Linked DNA regions of Arabidopsis thaliana. The main gene of each other region encodes a partner of the protein of the gene in region 4 in a complex. Each region holds a gene or a part of one and is shown on either strand. Other genes may lie near its edges.

Region 1 (5,850 bases), on a different chromosome or scaffold from region 4:
ATTTTCTATTCACATTATATTCGCGAGAGGACGATGAATATTTGGCCAGAGTCGTTAAGAATCAGAACTTGTAGATAACGAATCATAGATAGTCATAATTATATAATAGTATATAGTATGAAAATGGTATGTAAGGTATGCGTAACGATCTGTGAATAGAAACTATAGAACGAGAAGGTGAAACAAGAAGACACAAGTTTTGAAGAACAAGGACTGTCTCTATTTGTCTACTTATTTGACTTGAATTTATTTGATTTATTAACCCACAGAAAAATGGGGATTGGAAAGGAAAATCTGAATGGGATAAAGAGCTTCTTGGATCATGTAAATATTGGCAATCTCCAAGAATTCTATGTAGTAGGTCTTACGTTTTTCTATATATTTGTATTCTAAAATTCCTGAAATTAGATCACCATCACACTACATGTTGGTTTTAGAGTAATAGCTTTACTTCTCACCAAAAAAAAAAAAAAGAGAGCAATAGCTCTACATGAGAAACTCTTTGCACATTGCACAAAAAAAGAAACTCTTGCAAAACTTGTTGAACATTGACGATAAATTTTGTTTTAGAATATATAGTAACATTCATCAGAAAGTCTTGCATAAACATGATGAACAACAATGATACAGATTGTTATATAGCATATCAAACATTCGATTTGCTATTAGTCCTACTAAGTCTCCATTGCGTCACTCTCATCAACAACCATCTCAATTTCATTTTCATAACCCATTTTGCACTTGAACTCTTTCAGATTCGCCTCCCACACACTATAACTCGAGTTCTTCGCTTTAACATCCAAAGAAACCTCCTTCTTCGTCACCAATGTATTCGCATAACTCTCGAATGGAACAATCTTTTCCCGTAACAAAGATCTCCTCTGGGGATCACTACTCTCTTTTCTCGCCTCATCCAACCACTCTTTTGCTTGCTCAAGCTTAGCCCAAAAGCAAGTATCTTGCGTTGTGCTCGCGTATCTGCTTCTCACACACTCCTCAGGCACTTTAACTCCTTTCTGCCATTTATCAATCACCTCATACCTTTTAGGTCTATTCCCCTCCAAGTAATGCCCGCCAGTCTTTATATCTCTGTTTTTGTAGAAATTCGCAATGTCGAGTGGCTCGGCTAAGAGTTGATAAAATTGAGATGCGTAAATCCATTTCTTTCCTAAATGAAAATCAAAAGGTAACTCATTCGTCTCCACCATTTTAATCACTGTGTCCCAAAACTTAGCTAGTCTTATGCGACTCATGTTCACTTTAAAGTCTCTCTTCAACGAATATCGTTTGAAGAAATCGTAGTAACCTAGCTGCTCTTCTGATGCATCGCAACGATCTTTGTACCATTGAATCTCGAGTCTTGCTGGCAAGACACTAGCAAGCTCATTGGCTAACTCAGCTGACCTCAGAATAGGAGCCCGAACAATTCTTGTAGCTGTTTCTATACATTCTTTGACTAAAACGCCACTTGTGTCATCGTTAGAGAAACCTAGAGCTTCAACGGCTAACGCAACACCAGCTTGGTAGCTATTGTCGGGGATACTCCCACCAAGAAAGCTTCTAGATTTAAGAAACATGTGTGAAAGTGTGAACACATAGTGTCCGTACCTCTGATGTTCCTCGGTGTTTTGAGTTGCTGTGGTGTTGAGGATATTAAACATCAGACGAACAGAACCAGCGTTGTCTAGACAGACACCTCCTTTGTCGGAACAGAACAAGTAAGTTCCAAAGGGCCAGAATTGTTCATTGCTGCTTCTAGGAACGAGGTCGTGGATGGAGACCACGTGGCAGAAGTTGTGTGCTAAACGTGATCGTGAAATTGAGGTGGAGAGAGATTGGTTTCCGAGCAGAGGAGAGCCAAAGGTGATACAAAAGACGCGGAATGACGGCGGAGAAGATTGAGATAGAAGCCAAAGTGCGGTGAAAGCGGCCAATGCGCCGCCGGTTGAATGGCCGGTTATCACCACCAGCTTTTTACCTAACAATTCCAATTCCAATCCTTCCTTGATCTGCACGTTAATGCAGTCGACGTTACTGTAAATTGGTTGACTAACAAGAACAAAACTGATTATAGATTACCTTCCTTCTGAGTGTACAATTTCCTCTAATAATGTAAACTGATTTAGAGACTAAATTTGCCAATTACTTGGTTTAACCAAATTTGAATAAAAATCAGTTAAGACACCTCTCTAGACTTACCATTTTTACAACTTATATCTACATTAATGGTCACTTCTTGTTTTTTCTACTCATCAAAACCAATAGGAACTTGTTTTTGTTCAAGATTTTCATATCCTTAGAGACAAAACAAAAACTAAAAGTATTCGACGAAAAAGGGAATAAAATACATGATGGTGACACAATAATCATGGGTTAAAAACTTTTTGAGCGCACATTTATAAACTTCGCCGAGGTGTGTTAAAGCATAAAGCGTAAAGCTACCAATTCCATTAACATTTTTTGTTTTTTTTGGTGTCAAAAATACCAATGACGTTTCACTCACTAATTAGTAAATTTTTTAAATCACTTGGGCGGACGGACGTGATGGCATACAAACCAAACTTTCAATTGACTTGCTTATGATATCCAAAGGTCGCGACAATGACATATTCCAAATGGTGGATTTGGAATAATTGTGTCCACGAATCTTTTTAGAATTTCTTACAAGAAAATAATTTTTATTTATTATCTATTGTCTATTGCCTATTGGGGTAGGTGGTGGTGATAGTTTATAATAATCTTTTAAAAGGACAAAAAAAACCTCCATTTGGATTATAATTCATCAAAATTCAGAGGACAGAGATATTTAAATAAAAAATAGTAATGATCATCAGTTCTACTAAAAAGTACTAAAATACGTAAAAAAAATAGTAACTTTAATAGGTAAAATTCGTTTTCGCAAATCCAAACGAATAAAACTTATGATAGAATTTTGTTTTTTTTTAAAATCCTTTGTGAAATAATTTCCCATATTAGCATTTAATGATTTTTGTATTTTTCTCTCGAGGTATTATTAATTGAAATTCAAATATCCACATGCCTTGAAGATAATAAATAGGTTAAATTGCATCCAATAGAAAGAAAAAAAAACAGAGGAAGAGAAAACAAACCTTTAACTGAAGAAAGAGTTTGAGTATGGCAGCGTCGACCATAGGTAGAGGTTCATCGGAGGATAAGCCGGGGAAAAGAACATCTCCGGTGACTGGCAAGCCCACAAGATTCCCCAACTGAATCATCGATACCGCCGGTATAGCAACGTATGTAATCCCGGCGATGTCATGGATCTTTATACTCCCGTTGCAATTTGCGGTGTTGCATGAACTCCAAGAATCGGTAAATAAAGGAGTCGATATCATTACCGAAGCTTGCAACTCACTCGTCTCGAATCGACAATCGTCCATGATTGGATATCGAGTAGAGAGTTGCAGAACGATGATGTTTATGAAGTTGTAAATATATTACAAGCAAAAAGAAATTATCTATGTATCTTCTTGGCTTGTTCCTATGTAATTTCTTGGTTTTGGTCTTTGCTAAGTCGTCTTCTTCAAAGTCTCTTACTTTAACATCATAATTTAGTAAAATTGTACTGGTTTTATAAAATAATAATAAAGAAATGCTGTGAAAGGTAGGTCCATTCTCATTTTTTAATCATTGTGTGTAGAGGACAAAAAAATATGTAAATATATAGTAGAAGAAAATGCGAATCAAAGCATGTGATCCTATGTAATCGGAATGGTTTAGACTTGAGCATAAATTGACAACTTTTGATATGCAGAAACTTTGGTAAGAGTTTATCTATCTATCTTTCATGGAAATTGCAGAGAAATCAACCTACATTTGACTCAGACATTTTGAAGTTTTTTTGGCTAAGCTTTTAAAAGGAACCAATTACTTTCAGTTTCAGCTTAACATGATATAGTTATACAATTTGGCCCATATAAGTCCTACAAGTTAGACCCACCATGACTTGAGGAGATTTTTAAGTTGTGGTCTACCTCTACTAGAGAGATATAGATACTTGTTAATGAATTTGATAATTTACTGTTTGGAAAGGTTTATATCTAATTTAACAAAAAAACAAAGCATTGAAAGGTCCATGCCATTGTCATCTTTTAATCTCTGTTTGGGATCTTTGTGGAAAAACCTAGAGTACAAAATGGGGCAAATTATCAAAACAAAACAAAAAAGGTTTGAAGAAGAAATATCTGATGATTAGGACTTAAGCATGTATTAGAAAACTCTTGCCTTAACAAACTGATAATGATAAAAGAGATAATCTGAATCCTAAATGTCAATGAAACTATCCAACCGGACAATAATCATTGCAAAGCTACCATCTATAGTAATTTTCATGTAATTTTCTGGTTTTGATATTTTCCTGAATTGGAGTAAATATTCAAATTAAACAATGAACTTCTATAACCAAGTCTCTCCATTAGAGACTAGTAGTACATTTTCTTGGTGTTTTCTCATATGATGAAGTCAGTCGTCGTCCAAAGTTTTCTCAACTAAATGATGTTAAACAATCAATCTGACACATCTTTGTATCACCACATGTTATCGTCTCCCTATACTTATTTAGCTAATCTGCTTTATCTATAAAGCAATCTTGTAATTGTCAAGTTTGATATTTTGCTCTAACATGCTTCTTTTCAAGAGATACGTATAATCGAATCATAACTTAAAACAATTTAAGTACTTATCGGATTCCTAATCTCTTCTTCCACCTTAATAATACAGCTCGAAACTTTATACAAAATACGAAAAACGGTGTAACAAATCATGTATGAATATTGATTAGATTAATGATTCTGTTATGCGATTGAACTACAATAACAGATTCAATATAGCAGACTTTTCCAAAAATTGATGACAAATAAACGATCATGACTCAAAAGAAATTGCTCAAACTGTTATGATTAAGAACACATGGATTCATCAGTTACATGAAATGGATTGAAATCAGTAAATCTCTTTAATCTGATAAAACCCTAATTTTACAAACCCTCTTTGGATGTGGTTGCAGTAGCGGCGGTGTCGAAGTCATCGGGGTCTTTGGTTGGGTCAGATTTGTCGATTGAGGAGCGGAATTTATCGAGGAAAGGCTTGAAAGCGATCTCTATGGCTAACCATCCTAACGCCATCGCTGCGACCACCACAGTCGCCTGTTTCGCTCCCGAAGTTTTTCCCATCGCTGCGTCGTCGTCTTGTTCGCGTGTCGGTGGTATCAACCGATGGTTTAAGATCGGGAGATGGGTTTTACTAGGATGTTTAAAATGGGCCGGTTTGGGCTTCTCATTGGATAAAGATAGTTTGTTTGTTAAACTATGGCCCAACTTTTTATCCGTCTATTGGTTAATTAATACAAACTTTTTATATAATTGTAAATATAATTGAAAGGATCCCTATTTTATTTTCTTGGGAATATATATATGGAAAAAAACAATCAATAGAATTAGATAAATAGTTCAATATATCAACAATTTCTTTTTTGTTAGGATAAGGAACTTTTACCTTTTTTCTAATATAGTTACAAATTGTGTTTTTTTTTTTCTTAATTTATTATCAAATTTCTTTTTTACTTATATATAACCTCCTTTTTCATATAGAGTTATTAACTTTTTCATTTTCTCAGTAAATGTATTAACAAATTTAGACTTAATACATGAAGACATCTAATATTTTTATTGATATGTGTCGTGAACTCGTGACATGTTAGTTAGTAATTTTTATAAAAAAAATTTAGATAGGTTAAAATTATTTGATATGTGTAGGGGTGTCAATGGGTCAAAATTTATTGGTCAACTCAACTCAACCCATAAACCCTAATGAGTTGAAAATTTTGACTCA
Region 2 (7,184 bases), on a different chromosome or scaffold from region 4:
AATTAGATACATGTGTGCTAGTATTATGAGGCATATATTTCAAAAAAAAGTCGTGATGTAGTTACAAAAATTGATGGAATTCAAGCCACTGGTTTTTAATTAGATTATAAAGCTGAAGGAATGGAATTGTCTCAAATGGCAGATGAAGATGGTACTGTTCATGTCAATGTTTTATAATTTTTTGTTTTTTTTCTTAGGTTGCACGTTTGTGATAAGCTTATTTCATTACTATAACGATTTAATTTCTGAAGAACTATTTGTGTTATTTGTGTTCACAAGAATTTGCTGTCTGGAACAAAGTTTTACAGTGTACCTGAATTGAGTTTTCTTTTATTCGTTTTCGGATTTCACTCTCCACTAGTTGAAAAAGGTCTGAGGCTTTCTAGATTGTTTCAAACTTCGTTAGGAACATGAAAATTTGCATCTAGACAATGCCCTGTGGTATCTGGTAATCAAAATTCTGTTTCTGGTTACTTCGTTTTTACATGGGCAGAAAGTGAATCTCCTACAGGTCTTGCGACACAGTTAGCTTTTGATTTGATAAGCTTACTGTTACTTTAACCCTGTTGACATTTCTCACCTATGTCATTCGTTTGAAAGCTTGTTTTGATTCTCTAATGATATGCTTAACTTTCATTCTCTGATGATTCTTTTGTCTTGCAATTGTTATTGTTCAGGAAAGCTGGAGGAAGTCACTTTGATGACCAATGTTGGTTACGGATCTGACAAGATATTAATGTAAGAATAAGAGGCTATGGACATGGTTTTTACTTGAGTGGTGGCGATTAAGTCCAAATCTAAAAGAGATGATTAAGTCAAGATCCAGCAGAAAAGAGGAAACTTTCGTTAAGGTGTATGACAACAGTGGTGCAATTGCTAATGTTTGTGAATTGGTCTTTTTTCTTATTAGGGATATATAATGAAGCAAGCATGATTGAAGAAATCGCCAAGTCTTAATCGGCTCACGTTAGGTGGTGGAAAGACGACGCATTGCAAAAGTTTTGCAGGCTGACGAAAAAAGAGGAGAATGGAGATCAATTGGAAGAGGTTCTTCTTATTTGATTGGTTAATTTTTCTTTTCTTTCTATATTTAGATATACATGGTGACACCCATTATTGTCCAATTTGTCCCTTTTTTCTGTTTCTTTTGAGACCATGTCTATATATGAGAATTGAGAATCTTACAATTAAATATTTTGAACTAATAAGTCTTTTATTTTGTTTCCAACTCATGTGTTTAACTAAGTCCTAAGCTAACACTAGATTTTTTTTAAAAGAAATTTGGTTTTCCTCCACAGTATTTTTATTGTTTTTTGTGGACTTGACCACAAAACTTCAAAAGACTCGGAAGAAAATTAAACAAATATTATGCACAATTTCGCACCACTCAATGCCTTGCCTCCCCTACCTAAAATGTTGACAATGTCGTCTTATTCTTTATGTCAAGCACGATGATGTGTCTGACTTTAAGTAATTTACATTTTTTAAAAATTCGTGATAGATATTCTCCCAAATTCTTTCAAATATCATAGGCTTTAAGATGTTACCAACTACCAAGTCTCCTAAAAAGACCAAAAAGTCTCCTTAGATATTTATCAAACTCTTTGATGTTTTGTTGCTCGTTCCTTCGTTCACAGTTTCCTGATTTAACAGTGGCCAGTAGGATAATGATTACGTTGCTTCACTTTTCACTGTTACTGTGGAATTGCTTGGTAATTTCGAAAACTTGTATCCTTATTAAGAATTTGTAAAAAGTTTTGCAACTTCGTATTGTACATCTTTATTAAGAATTTGTAAATGAATGATATACAGTAGTAAAGACAAGAGGCTATGAAATATGGTTATGACGATTGAGTCAACAAAGAGGAAACTTCCGCCAAGTAAAAGTCTAAGAAATAATTGTGAAAACTTGTATGGCCAAGTTACCTCTCAGCTGTTATGTTAAATGTTTTATATCCACCAAGACAGACTCACTACTTGTCCTCTATTTCTCTTCTTAAAATCTCAATCTCCAAAGTCTTCGTTTCTAGTTTCCTCCTTCTAACTCTCTCTATGGCTTCTTCATCTTCTTCTCGCAATTGGGTTTATGATGTTTTCTTGAGCTTCAGTGGGAAAGACGTCCGCGTAACATTCCGTAGCCACTTTCTCAAAGAGCTTGATCGGAAACTGATCTCTGCTTTCAGAGACAATGAGATCGAGAGAAGCCACTCTCTTTGGCCCGATCTTGAACAAGCGATCAAGGACTCCAGAATCGCAGTGGTCGTTTTCTCCAAAAACTACGCTTCGTCGAGCTGGTGTCTTAACGAGTTGCTGGAGATTGTGAACTGCAATGATAAAATTATCATACCGGTTTTCTACGGTGTGGATCCTTCCCAAGTGAGGTATCAAATCGGTGAATTTGGAAGTATCTTTGAAAAGACTTGCAAGAGACAAACAGAGGAAGTGAAAAATCAATGGAAGAAAGCGTTGACTGATGTAGCTAATATGCTTGGATTTGATTCTGCCAAATGGTATGATTTTTATACCAAATTCATTATTAGATACATCTTGAAATAAAATTGTTGTTTCATATTTCTTAAATTATCTTTCACCTTATTAGGGATGACGAAGCAAAAATGATTGAAGAAATAGCCAATGATGTTTTGGCTAAACTGCTTTTAACTTCATCCACGGATTCTGCTGAGAACTCTATTGGCATTGAAGATCATATTGCAAATATGAGTGTATTGTTGAAATTGGAAGCTGAGGAAGTGAGAATGGTTGGTATATGGGGTTCCTCGGGGATTGGTAAGACTACCATTGCAAGAGCTCTGTTTAACCAACTTTCTCGGCATTTCCCAGTTAGCAAATTCATAGACAGAGCTTTTGTATATAAGAGTAGAGAAACTTACAAGGGCGCCAATCCGGACGACCCGAACATGAAGTTGCACTTGCAAGGATGTTTCCTATCGGAAATTTTGGGGAAAAAAGACATAAAGATTGATCATTTAGGTGCACTGGGAGAGAGGCTAAAGCACCAGAAAACTCTCATCATCATTGATGATTTGGATGATCTAGTGGTACTAGATTCATTGGTGGGTAAAACTAATTGGTTTGGATGTGGGAGCAGGATCATAGTGATTACCAATAATAAGCAATTCTTAAGGGCCCATGGAATTGATCATATTTACGAAGTTAGTCTCCCTTCTAAAGAGCGCGCTCAAGAGATGTTTTGTCAGTCTGCTTTCGGGGAAAACTCTCCACCTGAAGGTTTTGAGGAGCTCGTAGTTGAAATTGCATGGCTTGCTGGTAGTCTTCCTTTGGGTCTTACTGTTTTTGGTTCAGCTCTACGAGGGAGAAAAAAGGAGTACTGGGTGAAGATGTTGCCAAGGCTTCAAAATGATCTAGATGGCAATATTGAGGAGACATTGAAAGTCAGCTATGATGCGATAGGCAACGTAAAAGATCAAGCGTTATTCCGTCTTATCGCATGTCTTTTCAATCACGTCAAAGTCAGAGACATTGAATTGTTGCTCGCAGATAGTGGCTTAGATGTAAATATTGCACTGGAAAACCTAGTTGATAAGTCCCTTATTCATGTCAGAAATGATCATGTGGAGATGCACCGTTTGCTACAAGAAACGGGTAGAAATATTGTACGCTCACAGTCCACTGACAACCCAGGAGAACGAGAATTTCTGGTGGATTCAAACGATAGTCGTACTGTACTCAGTGAAGGCATTGTAAGTCTTTTTTTTAGTTGTGCTACTTTCAGTATACGAGGTTAAGAAAGTGCCATTTGATGAATCATGAATTGTATGGTTTTGTCTCTATCTCACTAATATCATATTTTTCAGGGTACTCGAAAGGTGCTAGGAATATCATTGGATACAAGTAAGGTTAGTGAGTTTTGTGTACATGAGAATGCCTTCAAAGGGATGGGTAATCTCCTTTTCTTGGATATTTCCTCGAAGACTTTTATAGAAGAAGAAGTCAAAGTGCATTTACCGGAAAAAATAAACTATTATTCCGTTCAACCCAAACAATTGATTTGGGATAGATTTCCACTGAAATGTATGCCTTATACTTTTCTTCGAAACCTCGTCAAGCTCGAAATGCATGACAGCAAGCTAGAGAAGCTGTGGGAAGGAGCTATGGTAAGGTTTAAGAATAAATTGTTAATGCTAATTGTAGTTTTTAAATGACGTGATGTGTAATTTCAACTGAGCTCTGCGTTTATTTTTGTCTGAGTACAGTCATTTACATGTCTAAAGGAATTGGATATGTGGGCATCTAAATACCTGAAAGAAATCCCAGATCTTTCAAAGGCCACTAACATTGAGAAACTTGACTTTGGACATTGCTGGAGTTTGGTGGAGCTTCCTTCCTCTATACGAAATCTCAATAAACTGTTGGAATTGAATATGGAATACTGCGGTGAATTGGAGACTCTTCCTACGGGTTTCAACCTCAAATCCCTGGACTACCTCAATTTCAATGAATGCTGGAAGTTGAGGACTTTTCCTGAATTCGCAACCAACATCTCAAATCTCATTCTGGCAGAAACATCTATTGAAGAATACCCTTCCAATTTGTATTTCAAGAATGTCCGTGAGCTAAGCATGGGGAAAGCGGATAGTGATGAGAATAAATGCCAAGGAGTGAAGGTATATGTAGTTCTCTCCAATATCATGAGAATCCATTATATGTTTTTCTTTTCAAAGTGTAAAGGTAAATCTTGCATTGAGTATTACCAAGTCAATCAACAAACAAAGAATGCAAAATGACAAATGCAAATTTGTTTCGTAATGGAATTTGTTTTAGCTTAGATTAATTAATTGAAAAGTCCCAAACTGTAAATTGTATTATTGGTGATTTTTGTTTAACATCTCTAAATTGTTTATTTGGTTCAGCCCTTCATGCCGATGCTGTCTCCCACTTTGACCCTCTTGGAGCTCTGGAATATCCCAAATTTAGTAGAGCTTTCGTCCTCATTTCAGAATCTCAATAACCTTGAGAGGTTGGACATTTGTTACTGCAGAAATCTGGAGTCTCTACCCACCGGAATCAACCTCGAATCTCTCGTTTCCCTTAATCTCTTTGGATGCTCACGGTTGAAGCGCTTTCCTGATATCTCAACCAACATCAAATATCTCGATCTAGACCAAACTGGGATTGAAGAGGTTCCTTGGCAGATCGAGAACTTCTTTAACCTCACTAAGCTAACTATGAAAGGTTGCCGCGAGCTAAAATGTGTATCCCTAAACATTTTTAAACTCAAACATCTTGGGGAAGTTAGCTTTTCCAATTGCGGGGCATTGACCAGAGTTGATTTGAGTTGCTATCCAAGTGGGGTGGAGATGATGAAGGCAGACAATGCTGACATAGTTTCTGAGGAGACCACCTCTTCTCTTCCTGATAGTTGCGTCCTCAATGTCAATTTCATGGATTGCGTCAATCTGGATCGAGAACCTGTCCTTCACCAACAGTCGATTATTTTCAACTCCATGATATTGCCAGGTGAAGAAGTGCCATCATATTTCACTTACCGAACATCTGACTCTCAACCATTTGGAACGTCTTCCTCTCTGCCCATCCCTCTACTTCCCACACAACTCTCTCAACCATTCTTCAGATTTAGGGTTTGTGCAGTGGTAAGTGCTTCCAATGGAGTATATATCGGGGTATATAGTCGGTTCAAAGGCAGAATTGGGAACAAATTTGATTCCTTTGGTGAGGTACATAATTTCATGGAAATTGAGAAGGGTATTCATCTGTGTATATTTGACTGTCGTATCCGTCTATACAAAGATAATGTTCCTCTATCTCAACTGAACTATGATCATGTGGATATAAATATTCATATAACTAGTGGAGATTGGAGATCTACGGTCGTTTTAAAAGAATGGGGTATACGACTCTTAGAGACCGGTTCATCAGCAGAGAACCGACTTGGTAATCCAAACAGTACTCTTCCACATGTTTCTCAAGCCGAAGAAGGCAATATGGGGTATTATACACATGTTCAAGGACTTGTTAATGAGATTGAAAATAGTGAAGACTCTGGAGATAACAATGTAGAGACTGAGAGAAGCAAGAAGCGCATGCGGGTAAGCATTAAGCATTAATTAAACATAATGACTATTCATCTCTCATTCTTTTTGTATGATTGACGACTGGATTCTTTTGCAGCTACACCACTTCATATGAGTAATATTAAACGGATGGGGTATACGACACTTAGAGGACTGTCATCATCGAAGAACCGACATGGTAATCCAAACACTATGCAGCATGTTTGTGAGGCCGATGAAGACAATGATGGATGCCATTAGACTGATCAGAGCGAAGAGCGAGGATAAGAATAGTGATATAGGCAGGGAGACTGATCATTTTCAAGAGTGCGAAGACAGTAATATAAGCAATGAGAGTAATCAGAGTGAAGAGCGTGGGGATAGTGACGATGATGGTATAGGCAATGTGACTGAACACTTTGAAGAGTGCGAAGTTACTTTTGAATTTCTGATTATCTGGTTATAGACTTTTTATTCAGTTGATCAATTTCACAGCCATCAATGTTGTTCACTGTTTGGTTAAAGACTTTGATATTATATAAATTGTGGGATAATTAGATTGTTAGTATTATTTCAAAAACAAGTCATGATGGAATTCAAGCCATTGGTTTTTAATTACAATAAGCTGAATGAACATAATTTTCTCAAATGGCAGATGAAGATGTTGATGTTCATGTGAATGTTTTAAAATGTTTTGTTTCTTTTCTGTGGTTGCACGTTTGTGATAAGCTTATTTCATTACTATCACGATTCCTTTAATTTCTGTCAGGCACAAAGTTTTAAAGTGGACCTGAATTAAGTTTTTGATGTATAATAGTTCTCTTTTGTTTATGGAGAGACAACGAACGACTGACTTGCTTTGTAGCCACACCTGCAAAGTTTTTAGGCATCTTTCAAAGTCCATAAACCAACTTAGTCTAGTTCCGAATAATCTTTAACACAAAGCGTCACAATTGTTTCAAATGCAAGTCGTGTTGTGGATACAAAAAAACTGATGGAATTCACGCAAATGGTTTTAACAAAATGAAGATTTCTCAAAATTGGCAGATGGAATTCATTTATTTGTTTTCAAGTACTCTGTTTCTTTCTTAGCTTGCACATTTGTTTTGAGCTTATGTCATTACTATTACA
Region 3 (5,240 bases), on a different chromosome or scaffold from region 4:
AGGTATATTCTACTATAATAATCTTAACTATGATCCTTAATTCTTGTTTAGGTCAAGATTATGTAGGACCAAAATTTACCAAATATAGTAGATTTTGTGCATTTATTACTTCAGGAGATGGGGATGATTAGATTTAGAGGGTATTGTTTGTTTAGGAAACTTTTTAAAGTAATCACACTAATTTAGGATTTGTGATAAAGTTACCGTTAAAGGATATGTATTGACTAAATTAAATTGTTGTATAATCACAAGATTTTGTTATGATAGAAAAGGTTATTATATGATTACTTTTTAACTATCATGGGGTTAACTTTGGTGGTGGTTGTATATTTGATCAAGCTGAGATTTGGTGTTTATTTTAGTGGGTCCTAAAATGATTTTTAAAATGGATCTTAGGAATAATAAAATTTATCTTGTGGCCATAAATTTAGAAAAGAATAATCCATCATAAGTTAAGCAAGATCTTCTCTTGAGATTTGATTCTATATAAGCCGGTGACATGTTAGGCCCTCCAAAACTTTATAATATATGTTTTAATTGTTTGGGTTGCATAATCTTAGGTAGGGTCATTTATAAAATCCCAATCCTCGTGATAGACACCTCACATGCCTTTGCTTATTACTAAGGAACCAAACCCTCTTTACCAGATTAAGTTTAATGATTATCATATATGAGCTGGCCATTTTCTGTATCCAAAGTTATAAACTTTATGGAATTAGATCACTAACATTTGGTTCCTTATATTTATTCAGATGTCTTGAAGAAGGAGCTGAAGATTTCTTATTGAAGCCTGTGAAATTAGCTGATGTGAAGAGATTAAGAGATTCTTTAATGAAAGCTGAGGAAAGAGCTTTTAAGAATATTATGCACAAGAGAGAGCTTGAAGCTAATGATATCTACTCGCAGCTAAAACGCGCAAAGATCTGAGTTTATCAGATTCCACGTACGATATGTTCTTTAAAAGCTCAAAGATTCACACACATGCATGTCCTGATTCTTTCGGCTTACAATTTTTGAGACATTACGGCTTCTTTTGCTGATAGAACCAAGACTGATCAAGAGTGACAAAGATGGGTTTTTATAAGATAGAAATGTAAATTGTAGACTTGGATTCATTAGAGAGGAGAAGAGATACATTTTTTTTTTCTTTACATGAGAGATATGTAAAATGGTGGTGTGTTATTTTGGAAGTTAACATATGAATTTCTTTTGTTAAGATTACTTAAATAATGATTTAGGAATGGATTAGTAGTTTAGTACCGTTCATTACACGAAGACAAGCTAATCTTTTGTCTAATTAAAATAAAGCTGTCTACATGAATCGAATCCAGCGAGATAAGTTAGTTATTTTAAGCGTTGGTTGGAACACTTTACATGGCTTTTCGTAGAAATTTCCCCAAGTTGGGTTTTATTAAGACCAAGAAAATTCTAGTCTCCTAGACTTTTTTTTGTTTCTTTTGTTAATTTAGTCTCCTAGGCTTTTTCATTCTATCTGAAAGCAAAATATGGTTATGCAATTTGGTTTAGCCAAAAAAACAAACTAAATTTTTCTAGTCCGGTTCATGTAACTTCATAATCAAACAAGTAAAAGTCGAATGTGACGCGTCTTGCCGAACGCAAAAACGGACCAGGCAAGAAGGTGTAGTTAGTTAATTCGGTTAATATTCAGCTGAGAGAAATCGAACCGGTTCCATATCTTGTAGATTATCCGGTTTACTTTCCGGATAAGATTTATAAGCAAAACAGAGTTAAAGTAGTAGATTTCTTCTATACGAGACCAAATCTGAAAACCCAAGTCAAGCTACAAAAACTTAACTCCAAGCGAACAAATCTCCTCATTCATTAAACAACAAAATTGTTTTCCGACAAAAAAGTGAATATCATTGAGTTACTGCGAAATCCCAACCGAGAGTGACATCTCAAACCAAAAGATGGAGTCTATATTAAAGAGACGAAGACTCCAAAGTCAAGCTACAAAATTTCCAAGCAAAGATTACACAGAGAAAACTTTCCGACCAAATGTGAATGTTTATGAAAGTTTCTGCGAAACTCCAGTCATGTCGGATGTACAAAGCCATACACCAATGTAAAACCGACACGTGGAAAGCTAAGATTCCTAGCTTTTCTTTCTTCATGAGTCTCCAATAGCCAAAGAGTCAACTCCAAAAAAAAAAACCCATTTTTGCATTGAAATGGTCTCATGATGGGGTATTTTGGGTAACTAATTAGTCCTGTCTACATCTTCCCATAAATTAACAGAGTAGGAGCGGATTAAAGAAGCAAGACGATTCAAAAGAAAAAAGAGAGAAGAAAGTCCACTAAAGAAAAGAGAATAGATATAGATCAATGGCGTTTGAAGCTCTTACCGGAATCAATGGTGATCTAATCACCAGATCATGGTCAGCCTCGAAGCAAGCTTACCTAACCGAGCGCTATCACAAGGAAGAAGCAGGAGCAGTCGTAATCTTCGCTTTCCAACCATCTTTCTCAGAGAAAGATTTCTTCGATCCGGACAATAAATCTTCCTTTGGAGAAATCAAGTTGAACCGTGTTCAGTTTCCTTGTATGAGGAAAATCGGTAAAGGTGATGTAGCTACTGTTAACGAAGCTTTCCTCAAGAATCTTGAAGCTATCATTGATCCAAGAACCTCATTTCAAGCTTCTGTAAGAAGATTGAAAACATCCGAATATATTTTTCTTTTTTTTTCTTTTTTGGTCTCTTATGCTTTTACTTCTTCAGGTGGAAATGGCTGTGAGGAGTAGAAAACAGATAGTGTTCACAGGACATTCCTCAGGAGGTGCAACTGCAATCTTAGCAACAGTTTGGTATTTGGAGAAATACTTCATACGCAATCCAAATGTTTACCTTGAGCCTCGTTGTGTGACATTTGGAGCTCCTTTGGTTGGTGACTCTATCTTCAGTCACGCACTTGGGAGAGAAAAATGGAGCCGGTTCTTTGTGAACTTTGTCTCAAGATTCGATATTGTCCCTCGGATTATGCTTGCTCGAAAGGCGTCTGTAGAGGAAACTTTGCCTCATGTTCTTGCCCAATTGGATCCCAGAAAGTCTTCCGTCCAAGAGAGTGAACAGAGAATAACAGAGTTTTACACAAGGGTGATGCGAGACACATCAACTGTTGCAAACCAAGCTGTTTGTGAATTGACTGGAAGCGCAGAGGCGTTTTTAGAGACCCTTTCTAGTTTCCTTGAGCTAAGTCCTTATAGACCCGCCGGTACTTTTGTTTTCTCTACAGAGAAGAGATTGGTTGCAGTGAACAACTCGGACGCCATTCTTCAAATGCTGTTTTACACTTCTCAAGCCAGCGATGAACAAGAATGGTCTCTAATTCCATTTCGAAGTATCAGAGATCATCATAGCTATGAGGAACTGGTACAGTCGATGGGAAAGAAGTTGTTTAATCATTTGGATGGAGAAAACTCAATAGAGTCTACGCTCAATGACCTTGGAGTGGTAAGTCTCTCTCTCTCTCTCTTTTCATACTGTGCAGCTCCATAGCTCCATTCTTGCAATCATTTAAACCCTTCAGAGTGTTTCCTTTTTCTGCAGAGCACAAGAGGCAGACAGTACGTTCAAGCTGCATTAGAGGAAGAGAAGAAACGAGTAGAGAATCAGAAGAAGATTATTCAGGTTTGTGGTTGATAAGCTTGTTCATGAATAATGCAGGTACGTGCTTCGTCTGTTTGTGTCTAACAACATAAAACTTGTTGGTTCTGTGGTTTTTAGGTGATCGAGCAAGAGAGGTTTTTAAAGAAACTAGCATGGATAGAAGATGAATACAAGCCAAAGTGTCAAGCCCATAAAAATGGGTATTATGATTCCTTCAAAGTTTCAAATGAAGAGAATGACTTCAAAGCAAACGTCAAGAGAGCTGAGTTAGCCGGTGTTTTTGACGAGGTGCTTGGTTTAATGAAGAAATGTCAACTTCCAGATGAGTTCGAAGGGGACATAGATTGGATCAAGTTAGCAACTCGATACCGCAGATTAGTTGAGCCTCTTGATATTGCAAACTACCATCGACATTTAAAGAACGAAGACACAGGGCCGTACATGAAAAGAGGAAGACCAACCCGCTACATATATGCTCAGAGAGGCTACGAACATTATATACTGAAGCCAAACGGAATGATTGCAGAAGATGTATTTTGGAACAAGGTAAATGGTCTTAACTTAGGGTTACAGCTAGAAGAAATTCAAGAGACTCTAAAGAATTCGGGATCCGAGTGCGGATCATGCTTTTGGGCTGAGGTTGAAGAACTCAAAGGAAAGCCATACGAGGAAGTTGAGGTAAGAGTTAAGACATTAGAAGGGATGCTTGGAGAATGGATCACAGACGGGGAGGTAGATGATAAGGAAATATTTCTGGAGGGTTCAACGTTTAGAAAGTGGTGGATTACGCTTCCCAAAAATCACAAATCGCATTCTCCTCTGCGAGACTATATGATGGATGAAATAACAGATACCTGAACCTTAGGTGGTGGAGTATTTAAGCTATTAGAACACTTGCTTCTCTTAATTTGTGCAATAAGAAATGTTTATCAATCTGGTTTCCACTTCATGATGATCTTAGAATAAGAAACATGTTGTATGATCATTGTGAAGTAATGTAATAGCTCTCTATTCTAATGTCAAATTTGGTTTCCACTTTACAGTGATCTTAGAATATATACGTTACTCTACTAAAGCCTAAAGCCATCTCAAATAGCATGAACCAGTAACAAACAACCTTCCTTAGATTGAAATGGTCTCATGATGGGGTATTTTGGGTAATTACTCCTGTCTACATCTTCCTACTATATTAACAGAGTAGGAGGACTAAGAATCAAGACGACTCAAAAGAAAAAAGAGAAGAAAGTCCACTCAAGAAAAGAGAAATGGCGTTTGAAGCTCTTACGGGAGTCAACGGTGATCTAGTCACCATATCATGGATGGCGTCGAAGGGAGCTAACCAAACGGAGCACTATCTCAAAGAAGAAGTAGGAGGAACCGTTTTTTTCGCCTTCCGAGCATCTTTCTCGTCGGAAGATTTGTTCGCTACGGAGAATACATCTCCCTTTGGAGAAATAAAGATGAAGCGTAATCAATTTCCTTGTATGAGAAGCATCGGCAACGACGTTGACACTACTGTTAACGAAGCTTTCCTCAAGTCACTTGAAGTTCTCATTGGTCCAAGAACCTCATTTCATGCTTCTGTAAGTAAACAAAAGCTTCTTAAATGCGT
Region 4 (4,714 bases):
TACAACCAGCCATGGAGCTGAGAACAGCGATGGAAACCGGCGCCAAGAAGAAGAAGAAGAAGAAGAAGAGGAGGAGGAGGAGGAGAACGAGAACAATGACGGAAGCGGATTCTCGATCCCGTGGCCGTTTAGCACCTTGTTCTCCTCGTCGCAAGATAGCAATGCACCAACGGATTCTAGTTAAGACATGTTCCCTGAGCAACATAAGCTTTTTGGTGTGATCATGAAATCTCGGTTCTACCTAAATCTGATCTTTTGTCTGTACATAAGTTTCTCAGATTTGGTTGAATGCTACATCTTTGGAAAACAAATATCTTTCAGTTTGTGTTTTTTTAATTGTTTTTGAGCAAATCTTTTGCCGGATTCTGTAAGTCGCTTGTGTGTTTTTTGTTGTCAACCAAAGCCACTTTTGCAACTTAGTTTGTTAAATTAATGCCTTAATGGTAAAATAACAAGATTGGTGGCTGTAGTACGAATTGTGTTGGTAATAAATTATAAATTTAAACATAAAAAGTAATTTAACATTCATCACCTTTGTTGTATGAAATGGAATTGTATAATATTGTATGCCTAATTACTTAGACCGACTCGTTTAATATGTCGTCATCCAAAACAAAATATGATGTCTTTTACTAAACTTAATGAAGTGATGCTTTTTCCTTGTGTTAATCCATGATTGCATTACCATGTAATCTTTTGTTTACGCGTAAACATTAATTAGAATTTATAAAAGCTAGAGTTCACATGTGTAAAATGCGACCAAAGTTACCAACTTTATGCGCTATTAACGAACCTTTTGACATTAACGAACTTAACTTTGATATAGTATATATACTAATATATTAACGTTTCACCAAATCTCCTTGTATATATATAAGTATTGTAGTATCAACTTATTACATTATCTCTCAGATTAGTCATAATCCAAAAGAAGAAGTAATGAATCGTCAGGTTTTATCCCTAATCACTTTGATTATTCTCTTGGTCTCCGCGTACAACACGACTATGGGCCGAACTCTGCCGAGTAAGTGACCGTCTTTGATCATACAAATACAATCACGCATAAACAAAACTCATATTCAGTTCTTAATCTCTTTTTTTATTATTATTATAAATTAAGGGGAAGGAAATGGAGCACAACAATTTGATAATCTAAAAGCTGGTGTCAGACGAAGTGAATCGGCACGTACTCGTCAGAAAGGACCCGGACACTGATGAGTGATGATCTCTAACAAGTTTTAGTTGGCACCTTCATGCAATAATTGATAATCTACTGCTTTGTAATAAGTCCGTCGTTGTGGCGATTCATAGTCTCTACTCGATTCATATTTGTGAACGTGTCTTGAGTTATAGTCTTACATATAGATCCAACAAAAAAACGTATGCTAACACATTCTGTAATAGAACACGTGGCAGACAAAGAGTGGACGGTTCCCTAAAATTCCAGTAAAGACCGTAACATTAAAATCTAATAAGCTGAATTCCCATAATTACCCTCATCCGACAAAGAGAGGCAAGGGTAGTTTAGGAAAGTATATAGAGGTAATAACGTGTCCTTAAGCTCCACAGATCCAAAGCGCAGATCACAAATCTCATCCCCAGAGAGAGAACCCAGAGAGCGATATTGAAAATCAAAACTCTCTCCTTTATATATAATCCCAATTTACAAATCTCTTTCCCTCTCTAAAAATTTCTTATCTTTGTATAAAAAGCCTTCTCCTTTTTCAAATCATTCACCTTCCTTTCGCCTTTTCGGGGGAATTTCTTCCAATCTGTTGGGTTTACGAAACCCTAGATTTCGAAATTCCGGATTGCTAACTAGCGAAAGGTCTGATTTTGTTTCGTACCCTTTGTTCCTAATGGATTCAATTCCACGGATTTTATCTGAATTGAGTTTCTTCGTAGTTGCTTGTTACGAATTGGATCTCATGTTCTGAAGTTGTGTGTTTCATAGCTTTTCGTTGTTTGATTGTGAAACAATGTTTCTAGATTTCAATTATCAAAACTGGTTTTTAGATAACCAGATTTGGTCAATGAAATTGTAAAGCTTGAAAACAATTTTGTTTCGTGGATGCTTGTTGGTTTGGATCGACATGAGTTTCTGTTTTGCCCTATTTAAGACGAGATTTATAGCTGATGTGTGTGTGTTTACGTTGATTCTTATGTTAGAGAATGGCTGATCAAGGAACGGAAGGGAGCCAGCCAGTTGACCTTACTAAACATCCTTCAGGGATTGTTCCTACTCTTCAGTGAGTTCTCTCTTTTGTGTCTCTGTTTTAAGATTCTGAGTTTGTGCTTTTGTGAATCACAAGATCTTACCTTTTTCTTTTTTGGTTTGTTTCAGAAATATTGTCTCAACAGTGAACTTAGACTGCAAGCTTGATCTTAAAGCCATAGCTTTGCAAGCTAGGAATGCTGAATATAACCCCAAGGTTTTGCTTTCTTTGTGATATTCGTGTTTTAGTAATCGATCATTTTGTTTGGTCTCCACCACTTTGGTTTGTATTTTCGGATTTGGTTTTAATCTGTGTTTTATGTTCCAGCGTTTCGCTGCTGTAATCATGAGGATCAGAGAGCCAAAGACCACAGCGTTAATTTTTGCTTCTGGGAAAATGGTATGTTTTCCTTTGTCACTTTTTCTCTTATGGCCTAATCTTCCATGTCCTTGTTTTGACGTGGCATCTATGCTGTCCAATATTAGGTGTGTACCGGAGCTAAAAGTGAACATCTTTCAAAGCTTGCTGCAAGAAAGGTAAACTAGCTCATCTCAATACTGTCTGATGTTCTTCTTCTAGCATCACTGTAGTTAGAAACTTGTTACAGCTCTAGTAGGTATTTGTTCTCTGTTATATTAAAGAATTCCTTTTTGTTGTTCAGTATGCTCGGATTGTTCAAAAGCTTGGCTTTCCTGCAAAGTTCAAGGTACTCATATGTCTCTCTCTGGTCCTGATCCAGCACACACTGTGTTATTCATTTTTATCTCAATCAACAATTCGTGTGTATTTTTATCGGAAGGAAAAATTACGTATAAAGTCTAGTAATAAAATTGCTGATTACATTTTGCAGGATTTTAAGATACAGAACATTGTAGGCTCATGTGATGTCAAATTCCCCATTAGGCTTGAAGGTCTTGCATACTCTCATAGTGCTTTCTCAAGTGTAAGTGATCTCAAGCATTGTGATCATATATACTTGTAACATGGGTGTTAATCGGTCTGATGATTCATACCTCTCTCATCATTGATGCCAGTACGAGCCTGAGCTATTTCCAGGATTGATATATAGGATGAAACTTCCAAAGATTGTACTGCTTATTTTTGTGTCAGGAAAGATTGTTATAACTGGAGCCAAGGTAATAATTGAACTTCTCTCAAATGATTAAAATTGTTTCCATGAAAATGCTTCTGTCATCTTATGAAATCCCGAATCAGATGAGAGAAGAGACTTATACCGCATTTGAGAATATCTACCCAGTTCTTAGAGAATTCAGGAAGGTCCAGCAATAATAGTATGTAAGTTCAACTTTCTTTATCTCCATTTACATTTTATACCCCTTAATCAATCAACAGTTTGATTATGACTATTTCGATTCGAAAGCAGAGCCTACCATATTGAAGGCAAAAACCATGTTCACGTTTGGATTGCCATGAACTAGAGATCTCGGGTGTTGGCAGGCGCTTGGTGGGGTTATATTCCTTGGACAAGAACTTGAAATGATTCAGATTCAAAACCAGAAATTGTAAATAGAGAATGGAGATGCCAATAAATCTCTTTTCTTTTTGTTCTAAAAATGTCTTCCAAGTAATCTTGTTTCATGTTCTGTTTGTTTCAGTGAACAATACCCAATCATTAAAGAGTTACTTAGTTCTTTGCTAACTGTTCTGTAATAAGACACCAAGTCTGTTTGCCCTTTAATATACTCTTTCAAGCAATTTGCCGCTCTGGTTTGTCAAATGTTTGGATCATAAGCTTTCATCTTTCAGTAGATAATAATCTTCGTACACATTAAGTGAGATAGTCCTATTATAACATGTTTTCGTTATCTTGAAATTCATTAAAGTTAATCGGTAGTGTTACATTAGACGAATTGATAACAAAGACATGCGATTACATTAGTCCTAGTGTAAACAGTAAACTACAGATAGTACGGCTAGTAATTCACAGTCGATTTGATTGCATCCAATATCTGCATCAAGCAAGAACACATGATATGTTAGAAACTGCGTTTTGGGTCGGAATAGAGGAATGATAAGAGAAGAGGAACTTGCCTTGTTCTTGGTGGGCATGTAGAATGGTTCAAACACAAGAGGAAATGGAGTATCCAGACCACAAACTCTGCTTACTGGAGCTTCTAACTGCATTTTAAATGACAGTTAAGAAACGGAGAACCAATAAAGAGTAGTCACTTGTAACGGTGATGATTTGAGCTTTCTTTTTACTAACCTTCAAAAAGCAACGTTCCAGAATTGTTGCAGAGATCTCTGCTCCAAAACCTCCTGTTACAGGAGCTTCATGGCTTATCTGCAACCCCAAGCACAAGCAAAAGCAATCTATAAGATCGACCAGACAAATCAAAATCCGAAGTTGTCAATCAAGATTGCTTAAATCTTACAAGAAGTCTGCCAGTCTTTTTAACTGAAGCCTCAACGGTTTCTTTGTCCCAAGGAAGCAGTGTCTTGAGATCTATCAGTTCACATGATATTCCTTCCTGCAT

What was found.
Region 1: TBP2 (region 4) and PAD4 share a complex: the UniProt entries of both Arabidopsis thaliana proteins name them as parts of the nuclear protein complex.
Region 2: TBP2 (region 4) and AT5G46520 share a complex: the UniProt entries of both Arabidopsis thaliana proteins name them as parts of the nuclear protein complex.
Region 3: TBP2 (region 4) and EDS1 share a complex: the UniProt entries of both Arabidopsis thaliana proteins name them as parts of the nuclear protein complex.

What each region holds. Positions count from the first base shown.
Region 1 is NC_003074.8:19,429,117-19,434,966, reverse strand, and holds PAD4 (alpha/beta-Hydrolases superfamily protein), read right to left. Parts: upstream 3,873-5,850; 5' UTR 3,402-3,872; coding exon 3,111-3,401; intron 2,010-3,110; coding exon 675-2,009; 3' UTR 517-674; downstream 1-516. Other genes in the region: OEP7 (outer envelope membrane protein 7), read right to left, coding at 4,998-5,192.
Region 2 is NC_003076.8:18,865,788-18,872,971, forward strand, and holds AT5G46520 (Disease resistance protein (TIR-NBS-LRR class) family), read left to right. Parts: upstream 1-1,828; 5' UTR 1,829-1,938; coding exon 1,939-2,510; intron 2,511-2,599; coding exon 2,600-3,722; intron 3,723-3,836; coding exon 3,837-4,136; intron 4,137-4,235; coding exon 4,236-4,646; intron 4,647-4,892; coding exon 4,893-6,089; intron 6,090-6,171; coding exon 6,172-6,189; 3' UTR 6,190-6,681; downstream 6,682-7,184. UniProt on the Arabidopsis thaliana protein: Disease resistance protein of the TIR-NB-LRR-type. Part of the RPS6 locus that contains a cluster of several paralogous disease resistance (R) genes.
Region 3 is NC_003074.8:17,754,799-17,760,038, reverse strand, and holds EDS1 (alpha/beta-Hydrolases superfamily protein), read left to right. Parts: upstream 1-1,891; 5' UTR 1,892-2,346; coding exon 2,347-2,664; intron 2,665-2,740; coding exon 2,741-3,472; intron 3,473-3,568; coding exon 3,569-3,649; intron 3,650-3,745; coding exon 3,746-4,486; 3' UTR 4,487-4,710; downstream 4,711-5,240. Other genes in the region: RR5 (response regulator 5), read left to right, coding at 1-2, 753-927; AT3G48080 (alpha/beta-Hydrolases superfamily protein), read left to right, coding at 4,894-5,211. UniProt on the Arabidopsis thaliana protein: Positive regulator of basal resistance and of effector-triggered immunity specifically mediated by TIR-NB-LRR (TNL) resistance proteins.
Region 4 is NC_003070.9:20,724,942-20,729,655, reverse strand, and holds TBP2 (TATA binding protein 2), read left to right. Parts: upstream 1-1,564; 5' UTR 1,565-1,828; intron 1,829-2,169; 5' UTR 2,170-2,172; coding exon 2,173-2,249; intron 2,250-2,344; coding exon 2,345-2,432; intron 2,433-2,543; coding exon 2,544-2,615; intron 2,616-2,701; coding exon 2,702-2,752; intron 2,753-2,877; coding exon 2,878-2,922; intron 2,923-3,066; coding exon 3,067-3,159; intron 3,160-3,250; coding exon 3,251-3,352; coding exon of another isoform or gene 3,353-3,382; exon of another isoform or gene 3,383-3,431; coding exon 3,432-3,506; 3' UTR 3,507-3,512; exon of another isoform or gene 3,513-3,600; 3' UTR 3,601-4,150; downstream 4,151-4,714. Other genes in the region: AT1G55530 (RING/U-box superfamily protein), read left to right, coding at 1-184; BCDH BETA1 (branched-chain alpha-keto acid decarboxylase E1 beta subunit), read right to left, coding at 4,151-4,186, 4,269-4,355, 4,444-4,521, 4,613-4,708. UniProt on the Arabidopsis thaliana protein: General transcription factor (GTF) that functions at the core of the DNA-binding multiprotein factor TFIID.